Xenopus tropicalis: one gene and its partners. The protein of the gene in region 1 purifies or fractionates together with the protein of each later gene. This does not show direct contact. Links are inferred from orthologs where the notes say so. Each region holds a gene or a part of one and is shown on either strand. Other genes may lie near its edges.

What was found. Proteins that work in one complex are often made in the same cells at the same time.
Region 2: the proteins of lyn (region 1) and plcg2 purify together in Homo sapiens (affinity purification with western blotting; 3 studies listed by BioGRID, with this or other methods). This does not show direct contact. The link is inferred for Xenopus tropicalis from reciprocal best matches to the Homo sapiens genes LYN and PLCG2.
Region 3: the proteins of lyn (region 1) and ankrd54 purify together in Homo sapiens (affinity purification with mass spectrometry; 3 studies listed by BioGRID and IntAct, with this or other methods). This does not show direct contact. The link is inferred for Xenopus tropicalis from reciprocal best matches to the Homo sapiens genes LYN and ANKRD54.

What each region holds. Positions count from the first base shown.
Region 1 is NC_030682.2:115,677,384-115,683,294, forward strand, and holds part of lyn (tyrosine-protein kinase Lyn), read left to right. Parts: intron 1-1,787; exon of another isoform or gene 1,788-2,240; intron 2,241-3,554; exon of another isoform or gene 3,555-3,594; intron 3,595-3,921; coding exon 3,922-4,075; intron 4,076-5,911. UniProt on the Homo sapiens protein: Non-receptor tyrosine-protein kinase that transmits signals from cell surface receptors and plays an important role in the regulation of innate and adaptive immune responses, hematopoiesis, responses to growth factors and cytokines, integrin signaling, but also responses to DNA damage and genotoxic agents.
Region 2 is NC_030680.2:64,132,119-64,138,566, reverse strand, and holds the start of plcg2 (1-phosphatidylinositol 4,5-bisphosphate phosphodiesterase gamma-2), read left to right. Parts: upstream 1-2,912; 5' UTR 2,913-3,139; intron 3,140-6,448. UniProt on the Homo sapiens protein: The production of the second messenger molecules diacylglycerol (DAG) and inositol 1,4,5-trisphosphate (IP3) is mediated by activated phosphatidylinositol-specific phospholipase C enzymes. It is a crucial enzyme in transmembrane signaling.
Region 3 is NC_030680.2:122,077,075-122,083,535, reverse strand, and holds the start of ankrd54 (ankyrin repeat domain-containing protein 54), read left to right. Parts: upstream 1-2,925; 5' UTR 2,926-3,044; coding exon 3,045-3,249; intron 3,250-5,806; coding exon 5,807-5,854; intron 5,855-6,061; coding exon 6,062-6,160; intron 6,161-6,461. Other genes in the region: eif3l (eukaryotic translation initiation factor 3 subunit L), read right to left, coding at 796-822. UniProt on the Homo sapiens protein: Plays an important role in regulating intracellular signaling events associated with erythroid terminal differentiation.

The DNA.
Region 1 (5,911 bases):
CAATGACCAAAAAAAAGCTGCATGTGTGATCCTTGCCCAACTCACCTGCAGCTTGCTCTTGGGTTCAACAGTAACCCTAAGGAAGGCTATTTTTAGATGACCTTTCATGACTACGTGTGTTCATATACAGTATATGTAATATACATAACCATCAACTAAAACAAAAAAGCTGTTGACACAAACAACTATAATCTGCATTACATGAACTGCTTCCAATCTTTTGCCAATAATTTAAGTAAAATCCTTAGAAAAAAAATAGTTTGTATTCACTGCCAGTGAGTAATTGTACAGTGTATGCTCTCGTGAAGAGTGCTATTGTTTTGGGTTATCACCAACTGTTTATACATAATGGAACAAGGTGCGCACACAATGGGCTCACTGTTGCCTTTACTTACTGTAAATAGGAAATAAGGGAAAGAGAGCAACACAAATGCAAACATAACGTTCATATGTAGAAACAAAGGCCAACATTTAGCAATGACAAGTATTTTACAATGAAGAATTAAATATTTGAACATATATATTCTGTTGTAGAATGTCTTCTGTTTGTTGTTTGGTAATGCATTCTTGGCATTTAACCTAATTGCACTAAATTACATGATGTTTTAAAACATAAAAGTGAAATGCTCAGCACCACATGTCAGTAAACTCACCAAATAGACCAAAATCCTGCATCTTTACTAGGGCACATGACTTTAATTAAATTGTATAGTCTAGTGCTGCCCAACTTCTGTGGTACCAAGGGATTGAATTTATTTTGGCCTACATGGTGGAGGACCGGTAATGGAGGCCAGGTTTCTTGTTTTTTTTTTTAACCACACCTTCGTCAAACCACATCCATGTTATCACAAGAGCTTTTAAGACTATAGCCAAATTAAAGGTGGTAACACACATAAATACACCCAAATAATTGCAGGGATATCCCACAGGCAGCACAGTATAGGGCAGGCAGAATATGGCACACGCAGGCAGAGTATGGCACACACAGGCAGCATAGGGCAGGTAGAGTATGGCACACACAGGAAGCATAGAGCAGGCAGAGTATGGCACACACAGGCAGCATAGGGCAGGCAGAGTATGGCACACACAGGCAGCATAGGGCAGGTAGAGTATGGCACACACAGGAAGCATAGGGCAGGCAGAGTATGGCACACACAGGCATCATAGGGCAGGCAGAGTATGGCACACATAGGCAGCATAGGGCAGGCAGAGTATGGCACACACAGGCAGCATAGGGCAGGCAGAGTATGGCACACATAGGCAGCATAGGGCAGGCAGAGTATGGCAAACACAGGCATCATAGGGCAGGCAGAGTATGGCACACACAGGCATCATAGGGCAGGCAGAGTATGGTACACACAGGCATCATAGGGCAGGCAGAGTATGGTACACACAGGCAGCATAGGGCAAGCAGAATATGACACAGGCATGCTTGAGAAGGAGACAGGGAGACCTATCAAGACTATGCACTTTACAGGTGTGAACAATACAGTGGGTGTGAACAGTGAAGGAATTTACAGCCTTAATCTAAGGTGTGAACAATGCAGGAAGGCAGTTAATACTGATACCATTTAAACATACACAAAGGTAAGCAGTCACAGCAGCCAGACAGATGGGGGGGGGGGCACAAAAGGGGGGGCTACAATAGTCCATTACTGACCAAACTGCATGATGGTCTGTGCACATGTAGCCTCCTCTTAAAGCAATGAATTTGGCCCAGGAACCTTTAGGTTTACTATATACTGTATTTGTTATATGTACATGAAGAAGGACCAGAACTTCAAACATATTATTCATCAGGATTTATTGCATAATATAGTTTTAATGTTTTACTGTAATTATTAAATGAGTTCCATATCCACATATGAAAATGGCTACTCCTAGCAGCTAAATGGACAGACCAGGTTATCTACAAACTTTCAGCCAGATTTGACAGTACAGGCAGCCACCAGATCAAATGGCAGAGGCCCAGTAAGCATTTGGCATCAGTGGGTTTTCCCTCATGAATTTTCCAGCATGTTCGGTAGGACCTCCTTGGTTCTGCATATGTATACATGGGCAGCTGTTGGCCACTATAGTCAAAGGATGACTAAAGACAAAAGATGGCTAACAATATCTGCCGTGTGTAGAGCTTCAGAGTTCAGAGTTATTCTTTGTGGGCTGAACATGATGGACGCCTTTCAGGTTAAGCAGAATAAGATACTTTGTGCATCTGAGAAAGAAGCAGTGAAGGGGTATATCTGAAAATAAGCAGATGACAAGTTAGGGAGAGGAAGCATATGTTAGACTGAATAATACTAGAAAATATATAGTAGGTCAGAGTTTTAATTGGTTAACTAAGCTTTTGGGGCTACTTAGGCCCCTGCTTCAGGTACGGTAGTCACACCTGCCATTGTTTTCCAAGTTGATTATCAGTGCCTTGAGTTTTGTTATATCTGCTCCTGGGTGCCCCACACACACCATCAGCTCAGAGTGAATAACCTATTACATCAATCTATAAATAAATAAATCCTTATACGGGTATGGGACCTATTATCCAGAATGCTTGGGACCTGAGGTTTTCCGGATAAGGGATCTTTCCGTAATTTAGATCTCCATACCTTAAGTCAGATAAAAATTATTTAAATATTGAATAAACACATTAGGATTGTTTTGCCTCCAATAAGAATTAATTATATCTTAGCTGGAATCAAGTACAAGGTACAGGTATTGGATCCCTTATCTGGAAACCCATTATGCAGAAAGTTCTGAATTACGGGCAGTTCATCTTCGATAGACTCCATTACAAGCAAATAATCCTATTTTTTCTTTTTAAAATTTCCTTTTTGTCTGTAATAATAAAACAGAACCTTTTATTTGATCCCAACTAAAATATAATTCATCCTTATTGGAGGAAAAAACCTATTGGGTTTAATTAATGTTAAAATGATTTTTTGGTAGACGTTAGGCATTGTGATCCAAATTATGGGAAGACCGCATATCTGGAAAACCCCAGGTCCTGAGCATTCTGGATAACAGGTCCCATACCTGTATTTATTGCTGTTCAAGGGCTATGGCTCATGGGGCGTTTCACCAAGCAAAAAACATAGGTAGCACTCCCACTGTCTTATGGGGGTACCCCTGTCTCCATATATGTATGTATTATTTAGTAGAAGAGTAAATTATCTTGGACTTAAATGGTTTTTTGCTGTTAATTCACTGGGAATGTAGATAATCAGTGAGCAACAGGATTTTGGTTTTACTGGGGAGCTTGTTTGTATAATGGGTTTAACTGAAATATACATTTTAGCTATGGTTTCCTCTTCACTGCACACATTCTGGTGTCATATTCAACCTGTTTTTCCAGCTATCTGTACAACAGTGGTATTAGCCACGGCTCAGATTTCCTCGTTTTACATTGTATTGAAACCTTTAAAGAGATTTGCACATTGTCATGGCAGCCAGATTAACACCTTCTTACAAATATTGTACATTTAGTTTTACGAATCATGCACAAGAACTTTTCATTTCAGTTTAGCAGATGCTAAAGTATTAAGTGCTATTCTGATACCTACCGGGAGCTGCTATCTTGCTCCCTTCCCATTGTTCTGCTGATCGGCTGCTGGGAGGGGGGTGATATCGCTCCATCTTGCAACTCAGCAGTAAAGTGTGAATGAAGTTTATCAGAGCACAGGTCACATGGCTGTGGCACCCTGGGAAATGAAGAATATGGCTAGCACCATGTGACATTTCAAAATTAAACATAGCAAAAACAGTTTGCACTTTAAATTCAGGATTCTGCTAGAGAAGCTCTATTAACTGATGTGTTTTGAAAAAAAACATGTTTTCCCATGACAGTGTTCCTTTAAATTCCAAAAGATTAATGGCTTCTATGACTGGCTCCTATAGGTACTCTTAACCACCTAATAATCTCTCCCACAGATTGCTGAAGGCATGGCTTATATAGAAAAAAAGAACTACATCCACCGAGATCTGAGAGCCGCTAATGTGCTTGTTTCAGAATCCTTAATGTGCAAAATTGCTGACTTTGGTCTTGCCCGAGTAATTGAAGATAATGAGTACACTGCAAGGGAAGGTATGTGCTCTGCTTTTAATGTGCTGTAAAACAGACAAATGGTAAGATCTGTTCCAGCAATCGAGGGCTCTGTTTTATTACCCTAACAAATTGCTTCCATTATTTACAATAAGATAGTGCCAGGTTGCTAACAGATACTAAGGATGCCTATAATATTAAACTGTGACTCCCTAAAAAAGTGATTGCCTGGCTCACAATATTTATAACTGTTGTAAATAGGAAGCATAGTGATCTGCAAAATCATGTGATACTCAGCTGTGTGGCAATAAAAGGGGTAAAGAGTCTCAGTTCATGGCATTAAATGTGTGTGGTAAAATACCCTTGTGCACATACGGTGGTGCTTGAATGTTTGTGAACCCTTTCATATTTTATATTATGTGACCTAAAACATCATTTTATTTTCAAACAAATCCTAAAACTAAATAAAGAAAACCTAGTGAAACAAATTAAACAAAAATTATTATGCCTTTTCTTTCATTTGATCAACTAGGTTTATTTCATCTCATATTATGACTTTGAAAATCGGATGATGTTTTAGGTCACATTCATATAAAAATATAGAACATTTGAAAGGGTTCACAAACTTTCGATAAGTGCATTATATATATATATATATTGGAGGGTAGGCACTCACGTATAAGTAGAATACTTCGCCTGGGTGCAGTGTGGAAATATGTATAATCACCATCTGAAAAATCTCACACTCCTCAAGACTTAATAATATCCACAGCAAATTTTATTGAGGGAAACTGACGTTTCGGTCCCACTAGCGGTCCTCACTAACGAGTGAAAGTATATATCATATATATGAACAGAGAGGAGCACACACTTCACAAAACCTGGGTGCAGGTAAAACATAAAATATAAAGAAAGGTACTGCACACACAGGGACTTTTTATGTGGTGGGGGGGTATTTAATGTGGCTGTTGGGACATAGTCTGTTGGTTTGTCCCTGAGGAAGAGCACAGACCATGCTTGAAATGTTGGATTTTTTTCAATGAACACTTTTTTTCTTTGCATTAAGTCCCTGTGTGTGCAGTACCCTTTCTTGATATATATATAATGCAGATGCAGACTGACATCTCATGGCAGCACAGAAACCAGGGGATTCTGCTAAGACATACAGTATATAACCTGCTAATGCTTTAAAGATTTCCAACAACACAAAAGTTGAGATTCTCAGCAGCAGCCCAGATCTTACTGAGTGCTTTAGTTCACTTATAAGTAAATAGTTTCCATGCAAACTTTATTCATATCAGTGCTCAGGCTCTGTTTGTCAGTCCGTGCCTTTATTAGGGGTGGGGAGGCTAATGGAGTTGCTCTTGTGTGACAGCTATTGCAGAGAAACAATAAGAAAACTCCCTTTCACCTTCCCTAGAACTCCAGGAAGGAATATGCCCTGTAAGAGTGAATAGAACATGAAACTGTCTCTCACTCACTCTTGGGCTCATTTCTAAGGGAAACCACACCTTGGCACCTTTACAAGGCCGATGCGGCTAAGGTAGTGCTCTGCAGTTCTGTCATATAAAGCTGTTGGAGGCCCCCCTATATTGACTACTGGAAAATCCAGAATGACTATACTATTACATTGCTTACATGTACCCTATTCAGTTGGGCGGTTAACGCTTACAAAGCATTACAGGGTGCCATAGAATGAATAATTCAGTTTGTCTGTTAGCTGAACAAACACAGCTCTTTGTGTAAATCAAAGTCAGTAAGGCCATGTTGGCTAACTTACTGTTTATAAAGGGTGAAGTCACCAACATGGAGCAGAATAAAGGGCAACTACTTACAAACCGTTAAAAAAACAAGGCAAATTATAGTGAAATGTAACCC
Region 2 (6,448 bases), on another chromosome or scaffold:
AACACGGAATTTGAAAATTTTTAACTGTGCATGCAGCATGCAGTTCTCTTAGCCTAATTTGCATGTGCATATGGTTCACTATTCGCCCGAATCTTTTACAAAGATTCAGAGTTCAGCGGAATCCCAAAATAGTGGATTCGGTGCATACCTACATAAAACCCAAATTCTTTTTCTTATTAAAACATTCATATTGTAAAAGTATTTCAAAATCTTTGCTGTCAATCATATTTTGCCTGTTCTGCATCTATGCTTCAGGCAAAGATCCCTACTGGCCAAAGTGGCCCCTACTGCCCAAAGTGACCCCTACTACCTAACAGTGTACACTCTAATTTTTAGATTAAAGTATGCTCTTTAAGTGAATGTATAGTGATTTTGTGATTAGGCAAATATCTATTCATGATATCCTTTAGATATCAAGAATAGATTGATAGATGTATGTTATTTTGAACCTGCACATGAATATCACAGTATAGACATCTTTCTAACTGCATAAGTAAAGAATCAAATACAGAAAAACAATATGCAGATCTATATAGGGAATACTACTGCCAAAGGAATATTTTCACAGCAGACATACTCCCATAGTCTGTAAATAATTCACCAGAGGCAGAAAAAGCATGTTGGAATGTCTCAGGTCTGGTAGAATAGAGAAAGGTTCCCACTAAAGCAAAACATAGTTAAAAACTCAATATCAGCAAATGGATGATATAATGGATCCACAGAAGTTGCACACATAATTGAAAAAATCCTTTAAGGTGAAGACTCACAAAGCTACTAGTAGCAACTACTTGGTGTGGCTACAAAAATAGACAATGCTGGTAATTTACTGATAATTGTCTCTATGTGTGTTTTAGCAGAGGCAAATCTCAGTATTGTCTATGGCAGGGTATTTTCTGACATTTAGTAGCTGTGACAAGTAGCTACATGCGTCAATCTCCTATGAAATCTATTTGTGTTTTCTTCAGTGGGGAGATTGCACAGATTCATACTTGGGCCTTAACCTCCTGTATTCCTTTTTTTAATTTCCTACCATATCATAGAGTAGAACAGAGCACTGGAATAGGGATGAAATGTAACAGATGCAATGTTTGCTCTGATCAATTAACCAATCAACAAATAAAATGTAATCTCTTATCAACTAAATGCAAAGATCTGATTGGCTGCTATAGGTTACAAGATATAAAATGTAGCTCTTGTTGTTGGCTTGCTTATTAAAAATGTGCATTCTGCCAGCCAACAAAGTGGATTCTACTTTCAACTAACCAAAGTCCCTACTAGCATATATGGATATGGTATAATAGTGATTATTTAGGTCATCACTGCCCAAGTGTATACTGTAGTTGATGTTCATCCACTAGATTATACTAAAAATAACAATAGAAGCCTTAATAACTAAGTGTAAGAGCAAAGCATTAAAACTAAGGTTGATTTAAGGCAGCCACAATGTCCACCCAGCCTGCTCTGATGAATTACAAGTGCATGCATTAAAGCAAGTGAACCCTGAAATTATGGCAGTCTGTATGTGGTGGTATTTTCTAGGTTTCCTTAATGAGGCCCTGGGTAAAATGATCAAATTAGAACGGTGAGTATAGGCACCCTTGGTTTGGGGGCTGCATCAATGAGCTGATACGGTTCCTGATCCTATGGAAAAAATCAAACCTGCCTGATCAAGATCTTCCCGATTTCAAAACCAGATGTTGGTCGGGCAGGTCCGTCGTTCTATAGTTCCTGCCCATACATGGGCAGATAAGCTGCCGAAACTAAGGCACATGTAACCGTAATAAGCATAAAAACGCAAGGCTTTGTATTCTCTTGCAGATATCGGCTACATGTGCCTGCACCCGAGCCTATCTCATTCGACCAGGTGCAGGCACATGTAGGAAGCGTAGGGTGGTATTTTCAGCAAGCGCTTTTCCGCTTGCTGAGAATATCCGCTCTGCTCCTCGTCTGGCATTAGCCTAAAGGATTGATATCGGCAGTTAGATTCGGCCCATGTATGGCCACCTTTACTTTGAATCCCAGTCCTGACTTGCTGGGCAGCCTGGGTCTGCCACCAAAGTTGTGGGCCTCAGGTGGGTACCCAAAACAATTGACTGTGTACAGTGCAGTGCAGTGATACTTTATGATGCAGCAAACAGCTTTGAGCTTTCTTTTTATGTCAACAATGACATCAAAGAAGCAGGCCTTTGATGTCTACCCCAAGTTAGCTACAAAAGATAGTTGTACTAACTGTGCCAGCAGCCGCCATACTCAATCCAATCCATACTTGCCTAGAGTACTCAAATGGGGAGAAGGGGTGGTATCACTATTGTAAAGGAGGACCTGTGGTTTCTACACCTGAATAGTCAAAATGATTTTTTAAAAATGTAATTTAATTCCATTGTACTACAGGTAAACTGCAACCTGGTAAAACTGGCACTGAAGACAGATCCTTCTTAGGTGCATGTATGCCTTAAGTAACAGGTGGATACTGTAGGAGTGGCCATACAATATAGGCATACAGCCTCCTTTATATTGTTTATTGGGATTTGCAGTATATGAAGAAGAGCTTCTGCTCCTCTTCCTCATTGATATTGCACTTGCAGATGTGGTCAAAATGACCCTCTGACCTGGAATATATGTGCGGATGTCGGGGCAGTGTGGTTGATATTGAAACTGCCTTGCCAAAGCTGGGCATTTACGGGCAGCCCTATCTTAAAGGTAAAAAAAAACCCTGGAACATACCTAACAATCATTACGGCACAAACAGAAACTTCATTTTTAAGGGCGGTGCACCAGAGTGCCGTTACCGTTACTATTAATCGCAGATTATATGACACGGTTTATGCGGGTTACCTCTTTCGAATACACCTTTAAGGGTTCATGTTTTAGGCTGACATTACGTCATAAAATGCATGCGAGAGAAAAAATAGGTGAAAACAGGAAGGGCAGCGCGCTGTACAGCCCGGGCAGATGAGAGGGACACTTCCTTGTAGGAGCGCTGCTGGGCAGACCCCCCGCCTCTGAGCCGCACAGTTATGTGCTTGGTGCTGCACCGGGGACACCAGCAGGAAACTACCGGCCCCGAGTCGCCGTCGGACATTTTTTCGGAGGAGAGATGAAGTGCAGCCGCCTTTGTACCATCTCCATATAGTGTAAAGTACGTAAGTGTTGTTTGTCTGACGCACAGACACCTGCTATGTAGCCCGGGCAGTACCTATGGGCTGGAACTAAAACTTTCTCTGTGCGCACCTGTGCCACCTTAGTGCTTGTTCCCATAGGATGGAGTTAATATGTAAACTTAACAGCAAAAAGTATCTGCACATTTAAAAAAAGTAAATACAAAAAGAAATGTTTTGAGTGTGCAGATACTTTTTGCTCTTGTGATTATTTTTGGAGTTACTGCTTGGGTTTTCTCCAGTGTCTTTGCACCTCTGTTATTTATGACAAGGTGTGCACTTTGGCAGTGTGCAATATTAATATGTAAACTTACCTGAAAACTAGTGAATATGTCTGTTATATTGACATGGGTACCGGTGTTTGTCCGTGTCACTCCATTCTAAACCATATCCTTACAGCCTGATATAGTTTTTCACTGCCAGTGTTCAGCACTGTGCAATGGATGCGCCGAATCCAAACTCTTTAAATCGTTTGACTTTTGTTCACACAAAGAAGGAAATTGCAACTTTTTCCATGTGTGGCACAGATGGTTCTTTTCAGCCCTTCTGTACATTTGCAAAGAGTTCAGACTTCTCCAAAAATGATTTGCAAAATAGCAGATGTGGTGGCTGCATAGGTAGATGCATCTGGAGATAACAGTTGCACCTACTGACTAGGCTGCTACAGACCTCCAGACTTTGTGGTAGCTTCATGGTTACCACAGTGGTTTGCGCCAATCGTCGCAGTTGTGCCAAAAGCATAGGGCCTATGTCACACTCATGGTGAATGTATGCAATCATGCCAGCTGCATCTGATTCCTGCCAAAGTGCAAGTACAAGTGCAACTGCGTCAGTTTTAATGCATGGGATGTAGTTGCATCTGATGGTGAATTTAATGATGCTGGAATGATAGGACAAAATGCTAGATTGTTGGTAAAAACAAAATGGCAGTTATGTCCGAAATAGCATTTTGCACACTGCAGTCCCCTTTCTCTTGCAATATTTCTCTGTGTCTTGCACCATCTGTGTTTCTTTCTATTTTACCCATGTGTCACAGGGCAACAAGGCTGATTTCAGCCAGAAATTAATGGCTGAATTTTCTAGAAAAACGTTCCCTATATATGCAGTGACAAGCCGATTTCATTTCTCTTAATGCAAATGCGCAGAGGGCAGGGTGGGGGCCGAATCAGTATTTTCTCTGTCTAAACCATGTCTGACTGTAGCATTGTGTTTTTTTCTGTTGTTGACCTTTGTTCTGGTTCTCTATGGTGTAATGCCTGTTGGCAGATAAGCTGAAGATGAACAGCAATTCTTTAACATTACATATCTTTCTCCTGATTTAAAGTATTAGGTCATTACGGCAGTTTTATTGGGAACAGTGTGCTTTGATTGCTGTAATTTTACCTGGATAAACTTTTTAGCCCCATGTGAATTTTTAGCAGTTCTAGTTACATAACTAAATGTGTGCATTGTTGTGGAACTGCTGGGGTAAAGATGTTAAACTGGCATGGTACTTACTGTTACATTTGCGTGTAGTCAGACCTGCATCTCAAACATGAATCAAACACACAAAATCCCAATATTCAGCCAGCAATGTGTGAAGCAGCTTCACTAGGTCACACTGGACTTGGAGTCTAGGATAATAAGATCGTTGAATTACAAATGTAAAGCGTTCCCTAGCCTGTGAAAGGCGCTTTGCTGACAACTGGCTCCCTATTTTGGGAAGAGATAAGTGCTGTTAGGGGTGGCTTACGGGAATTTGTTTTGACAAATTAACAGTGATAGAGGAACATGTCATTATCACTAAAAAGTTAAATGCAGATTAATAAAGCTCCTCCTAACATACTGTTTTTAGTTACTTCTGCACTTAAAAAAGACTTGTGGGTAATGCATAAGCCTCTTTGTCATCTGTTACAGCTGTGAAATGGAAAGATGCACTTTAATAGTAGAACTGGTTTTATAGCTGTTTTATGAGAGGTTCTGCAGAATTTCATAAATATCTTTTGTGTTCTTACATGGGTAAAATGTGGAGAAGAAGTAATGCCTTAATAAGTTGCCCAAGAGTGAGGCAGCTCTCCATCTGATATTTTGCAGGCACCAATGAGAACTGACTTGTATTGGTTTTAACAGTGCAGTAATTTCTTCATTTCCTTTTTGCTTCACATAACTCTTCTGAGGGGCTGAAGTGACAGTTGTAATGGTGCAAAGCATGTAAAAGTGTTAAACTGATACTGCACATGTGGGTTCCAAGAAAACTGTGCAGTATTTTCATTTTCTCAAATGAATTGCTTTCATGTTATAAAAGATAGTGGGTGTTGTTTAAAATGTCTGAATAGAAATATATCTGTAAATTCTTATAATGCCAAGAATATCAAGGACAGAAAATATGATCCCACAATTTGAATTTTTTTAACTCAGATTCCAGTACTCAGGCTTCACGATGGCATTTAACGGCCAGAAGCCAGGACAAGGTCGCCTTCCAGTGAAGGGCTTGTTGTGGCTGATGATCATTGTCAGGGAGCTGTGGCACAGAAGATGAAGCATCAGACATGGCAGCCTCAACGCCACTGTGCAGCAGTAAGAAGTAAAAGGGATAGCTGCTCTCAGAAATAAAAACAAGCAATACTTATTCCTTGCAGAAATACTAGTTGAGTTAAACAAACTAATGTTTACACAAGGAAAGCTCAAATTGCGCTTCACTTCAATACAAAAATTGTTGAACAAAATCGGTGGCTTCCAGTCTCTGTTATAATGTGTACATAAGCAAAATTAGTGGAGGTCTGGTGACAGTTTGTGCTCTACCCATGGGTTATCCAGCAATAAAGGGGCTTTGGTACTGTCCTTTGCTACTAACTCTGGGCTTTTTAGATTTTTTTGTGTTGATAAAAAATGGGGAGTATTCTCAAGAAAGCTTCCTTGTGGTGTTGGTGTCTTTTTCATATATTTGGCACAGCTTTTAATCTACCGTTGCTGGTGTAAAAATATTTTAATCATCCAGTTCCTTCTAACCCTTTTGCTAGTGTCAGGTTGACCCTGGAAGCTGTTGTTGTTAGAATAAATGTTAAGATACATGTGAATTCACTCAGTTCTCTAAATGTAATCTAAGAAACATATCGGCTCAGGTGGACCTTGGCTCCAAAACACTGATGGCTATAAGGAGCAATTTGACTACCACTGTTTTCCACCTTTATACTCATGTCCCTATAGGCTAATTCAGTCAATGTTCATATCTAATCATGAAGGTACACGTCTCCCTGTTACCTTGTTGAATCCATAAAATACTGCCATTAGGCTGCTGCTGACCGAATTTT
Region 3 (6,461 bases), on another chromosome or scaffold:
CCTGTGCTTATAACATCTGTCTTGGACAATAGAGAGTTAACAGTTTGATTGCAAGAGCTCCTGGCATCCATTTTCTAAATTTGAACTAACAAACTACACAGTACCAGTGGGAGTTGTAGTACAACAACACCGTTCATCCCAATTCCTTTCACATAGCGAAGGCCCATTCCTTTGAGAGTCCCAATGTACCCCATGCTCTGTCCATAGCCGTAGTTTGTCTAATTATAGCCAAAAAGGGGTTACACTAGGATAGTGGGAAAGCCAAAGGAGCTAGTCTGCCCCATGTTAGATTGCAAGCCACTATACTGTTGGACAGAGCCATAACTAGCAGTCAGGGCCAGCTTGTGATACATTAGACTGGCTGGGCAGTACAGACAAGTGTTACTGCTCTGATATATACATGTGTACAGCAGGAACCCACTATGTAGGCTCACAGTTGCTATCTGGCCAGTATATTACTGACCTGGCTACTAGGCTTACTGACAGTGTTAACAAGGGTGGCAAAACCGGTATTCGTTAATGTGAATATATAGCAGGGAGGGGATTCAGCACTAACACACGTCTTTATTTTATAGTCCCACCTTGCCACCAAACATGAAGCCTCAGAACTAATCTGCCATATTACAAAATCTCAAATAAAGATAACGTGCATATTATTACTATGGCATTGTTCTTTTAACACAAGGGATTGAAGTCCTATAACCCTAACTATCATATCCCACAGCAACGTCTCTAGCTATAGTGCAATGCACCGCACCCCAAAGCAATCAGGGCCAAAAGGCCAACGCTACTCACTTCAAACTCTTCGTTGGCGTAGGACATGGTTATATCGTGCGAACAGGACACCGAACACCGGCACCCGCGGAGCGCACACTACACACTTAAACAGGAAGAGAAAAGGGAGACTTCCGGCGCCTTTCTAAAACGTCATGGCGTACTAATGAGCGCTGCCGAGAGATGGCGCTGGAGAAGCGCGCGCTTACTAAAGTAAATGTAGTGAGATCTTGTAATTATAACTGGTATATTCTGTGTGGAAGGGAGGCACACCGTCATAAAACTGTTCTTCTTTATGCCACCTATACTTGGCACCCAGCAGCCACAGGCCCTTGGTTTGTGGCAATTGTTTGTGTTCAGCTTGGCCTGGTAACTACAGCAATGTGTCACAAACAAACATTATGCTTCCAAAGAAGCAGCACAACCTATAGACTGGGGCTACATTTCTGCCATTTTTAATGACATGCTCAAGAAGCAGGGCTTTTCCTTTACTGTTCCAAGAGTCTGAACGAGCAGTGCAGAGAGGGACAAACAAATACTGCTTTTATTTTCAATTTATATAAAAAATATCTGTGGGTTTCTCTTTTAATTATAGCAACACAGCTGAAACTATATTATGCTAACACAAGTATTAGTATTATACAAATATGTGTGATATAGGATTTATTGAACCATTCCCAGATCCTGTGTCACAAACGTGAATTATGACCAAGCTGGGAATATTTTTTTGTTCACTTTGTGGACATGCACATAAGCAAACACACCCATTTTACCAAAACACACCCCAGATGTGGGTATGGGTAATGTGCATATTAACCCTAGATGTGCCAGTAAGATAACTCTTCAGCCTCCCTCTTCCTGATTATTAAACCACTGTGAAAAAAAAATCCACAATGGTGCATTCCACAGTGGCAAAGCATCTTGGATTTTGTTTAGAAGAGCAGGGAGCTGATAGCTGGCCATGACATGTGGCACAATTTATTATTATTAACATTTATTTATAAAGCGCCAACATATTCCGCAGCACTGTACAATAAGTGGGTTTCATACATTGGACATACAGAGTAACATATAAAGCAATCAATAACCGATACAAGAGGTGAAGAGAGCTCTGCCCAAAAGAGCTAACAATCTACAAGGAGAAAGGGTTGAGACACAAGGTGTGGGAATAAGAATACAGTCCAGGACAGCAGGCTGTGTGCTTAACTGTGACTGTCCCATAAAAATTAAGACAGATAGGAGATATGCATCTACCCCAACATGGCCATACACACTGGGAGCTTCCACCAAGTGCTTGGGGGGGAGGGGGTCACTTATTTTCCCCATCTGTAGTGTGGGCTCTGTTACTTGTATGTGATAGATACCCTTTCATAACATTGGCATCATTTTTTACTGGCCAGGTGGCCACCATAGATATGTGTTACCCTGGTCTCCCCACATAAAGCAGTGCAAAGGAGATAAAGGAAAGTGAAAGAAGCTGATTTATTAAGAGAAAAATATTGGGAACTGCACAGTCAGTTCATATGCAGTTACAGGAACATACAATGAAATTGTTTTGGGTCCACATAAACATTAGTAATATGAACATTGTTCACAATCATATATTGATTATATTGTATTTATATAGCCCCACAAGGGTACACAGAGCTTTAAAAGCAATAGACACAAACAGGGGTATGGTCATTATAAATCAGACAGTTAAAACAAATATTAAAACAAATATTGGGATGAGGTCCCTATCCCAAAGAGCTTACAATCTTTTCTAGTCGGCCCCCTACTTGGCCTCAGCAGCTACTCATTCAGAAACTGGGTTCTGAATGGCTTTTCATTTTACAAAAGCCTCATTTATATTTCACAAATGGTTTTACTGTATTTAGAATTGCACAAGACAAGTAGCAGTAACGTTGTGAAAACCATCATTAATGGCTTCTGTAGCTGCGGTGTCCAAAACTACACTTCCCATAATGCGTCAGGACTGCACGGCATTGGAGGCCTTTATAGCCGGATCGTTCCGCTTTACAGCTGCCCATCAGTTACTGGCGGAAACAACTGTCTATCAAGATCTTTCAACCAATGAAGGATGGCTATATGTATTTTGCCGCTCGCTGTCAAAAGTCTGTTCATGTTGGTTGGCCGGAACTGTCATAGCGCTGATAGAAATCAGTAAAGCTGATTGGTCGAGATTTACGCTTCGCAGTCTTCGATTGGCTGTAGCCTTCCATTGCTATGGTTACTGTGGCCTGCTGGTCCTTTAGGAACCTGTGAAGCAAATGGAGCTTGAGGAGCAGGCTAGTAAGACTGTACCGACAGAACTATGTCATGTTCCCACGGCAGGGGATTTCTGTGTATCCGAGGTACCCGAGCTTTTAAGAGCTTTATGGGAGGAACCAGAGAGGCCACGGAGAAACCTAGGAGGTCGCGTTAAGACTCGGCAGCACCGTCACAGGCTCTGTCCCCTGGGGAGAGAGAACTATGGTAATATGCTGTACCGATATGGGCACCTGAACGCCTGAAGAGGGTTACTAAAGTAACGTTTGAACCAAAATAGCAATTTCCTCTGCAAATAACTTTAAAACCATTGCAAATGTTCAATTAATGTGTATTGGAAAGAATTACATTTTTAGTATGCAACAGACATTATTTGGGTGGAGATCCCCCTTTAAAAAGCCAAAGCACGTGGCTTTCTGCGCCAGTTATTACAAACCTACTAGACATGGTGATTTCTCAATTCTTCTAAACTTGCTTGGCATTCTGGGTAAATTGCACAGAAGTTTGGGAAACCAGATTGTGTTTAGTGTTGGAAGTATTAGGGATTGTGTGTGTAAATGAGCCCCAGTGACCCAGTATTTGGTTAGAGAAGTCGCTCAATGTTTTCCCCAGGCCCTTTTTACGGGGTGGATTGACTGGTATTTTCCCCACCACCTGGTGCCCCTCTGGCCCGCACGTTGCACACGGTGTCAGAATTCTCATTTCAGAAGCCAATAATACTGCACTGTGTCCAGTCCTGTTGGCTTGTACAAAAAATTTTGTTCAGGGGAGAACACTATCATACTTGGGGCTGCAAGGGGGCCATAAAGATTGTGGGACATGTTTATTATCACTGGTGTGTCAGACAGTGGATCTTACTGGTCACTGGGTGGGAAGCATTGATGCTAAGAATCATCTAGGATAGGCAGCTGATACAAAAGAATAACATCAGCAGGAGAGTAGTACAGAGGAGTTCTTCAGTATAATTATGCATATATTGTGTAACTCCACTCATATGAATCACTACTATATTTGGTGCATTGCTCTGTTTCTCTGGTATTACCTTAGTAGACATGCACAGTATCATGTGGACTAGAGTATTCGTGCTTTCAGCCCATTCATTATACAACAGGGGTCGGGAACCTTTTTGGCTGAGAGAGCCATAAACACCACATATTTTAAAATGTAATTCTGTGAGAGCCATACAATATGTTTGGCCGTGGATGCTGCGGGGCAAGGTAGGGTGGGTGCCAAGGATGCCGGATGCAATGCGGAGGAGGTCGTGGCCTGCGCTCGGCAGATAGAAGATGTGTTCTAAGGCTTAGAACACGTCTTCTATTCGCCGTGCGCAGGCCACGCCCCCCGTTATTTTTTTTATTAAAGATTTGTTAGTGAGCCAGATGCAGCCATCAAAAGAGCCACATCTGGCTCCAGAGCCATACGTTCTGTACCCCAAGAATGCTTGTCTGACATTGAAAATGTGTCTCACAATTGGAATAAATGGATTGTGCTTAGTATTCCAGTAGAAAGTAGTAGGGGGGCTTCTAAATGGGGATTAAAGGGGCGATTCACCATTAAGACTTTTAGTATGTTATGGAATTACTTTTCAATTGGGCTTCATTGTTTATTTGTTATAGTTTTTTAATTATTTGCCTTCTTCCAACTCTTTGCAGTTTTAAAATGGAAGCCACTGTTCCCAGCAGCCAAAAAACTATTGCTCTGTGAGGCTACAGTTTTATTGTTACTGTTACTTCTTGTAACTTTCGTTTCTATTCAGTCTCTCTCTTATTCATATACAGGTATAGGCGCCGTTATCCAGAATGCTTGGGACCAAGGGTATTCTGGATAAGGGGTCTTTCTGTAATTTGGATCTCCATACCTAAAGTCTACTAAAAAAATCAATAAAACATTAATTAAACCCAATAGGATTGTTTTGCATCCAATAAGGATTATTGATATCTTAATTGGGATCAGTTACAAGGTACTGTTTTATTACTATAGAGAAAAAGGAAATCGTTTATAAAATTCTGAATTATTTGATTAAAATGGAGTCTATGGGAGACAGGCTTTCCATAATTCGGAGCTTTCTGGATAACAGGTTTCCGGATAAGGGATCCCATACCTGTACCAGTCTCTCGTCCAAGCCACTTCCTGGTTGCTTAGGTAACTTGGACCCTAGCAACCAAGTGCTGAAACTCCAAACTGAAGAGCTGCTGAACTGAAAACTACAAATAATAAAAAAAACAAAGATCAATTGCAAAATGTCTCAGAATTTTACTCTCTACATCATACTTAAAGTTAACTCAAAGGTGAACAACCCCTTTAAGCATTTATGCATGGAGTAATAAAATGATCTTTGATTATATAAACAGAGATACCATCAGGGGAAATCAGAGCCAGCTACAGCATCCCCACCCATAGTCACCCCCCCCTCAATGCTAGTTTACCTGTGTAGCCTGTTTATGAATTCCATCACAAATATTTAAGTATCTCCCTGTGCTTTGCATGTTCATTACACACCAAGGAATCCTGGTAATTGCTTACATAAAGGAGGTGTTAAGTGGTGGTTAGTGGACCCAGACTGGCAGTCTGTAGATTCTGGCAAATGTCAGAGGGGCTGCTGCGAGATGCCATAGGCAGTCACTATTTAGTGGTCTGTTGGGGCCTCTGAAATGCCAGGGCCTATTTTGAATGCCTGTCTGAGCCTGGTGGATAGGCTGATTTCAGTTGCATTAGTGTCAGTAATGAACCTCAGTATTAACTAAACTTAATTTTGTACTTTCAGCGTTAAGGAAGCTAAGGGAAGCAGCCAATGGAAATGATTTGGATACAGGTGTGTATTTCACAAGCTTGATATACTATCAAAGCTAAAAATAAAATTAAATAAATAAATGAGCATACTCATATTTCTTTAAACTATTAAATATAGTGTATTAGGACTTAAGAATATCCACTTTAAAAGCCTATATAATAATTGCCCTCCTATAGCACCCCTCATATTTGCTTGTGATTGGTCATAACCCCTTTTGCTCTCTTCCAGTACAACGATTATTAGATGAGGGGGCAGATCCATGTGCAGCTGATGACAAGGGACGGACAGCACTTCACTTTGCATCGTGCAACGGAAATGACCAAATTGGTAATAAACTTGAATAGGGACAGAAAAAGAATCATTTTTGTGTACTATTGGCAAATCTTCATTACCAATATTTTGTGTGAGGGCATAGTACTTTTACTGACAGAAAACTATCATGTGATAAATATTGCGTGAACACAAAGCAGAGAAAGGAGTATATCTAGACTTTCAGACACTCAAAGTATACACAGCCTAGCAGGAGGGTTGTAGTTCTTTCAGGAGTTTGGCACTAATAAGGTAACTCTGGACTAAGAGATGCAGTTTGGCTTAAGAAGAATACTAACATTGTTCCTATATTACAGTA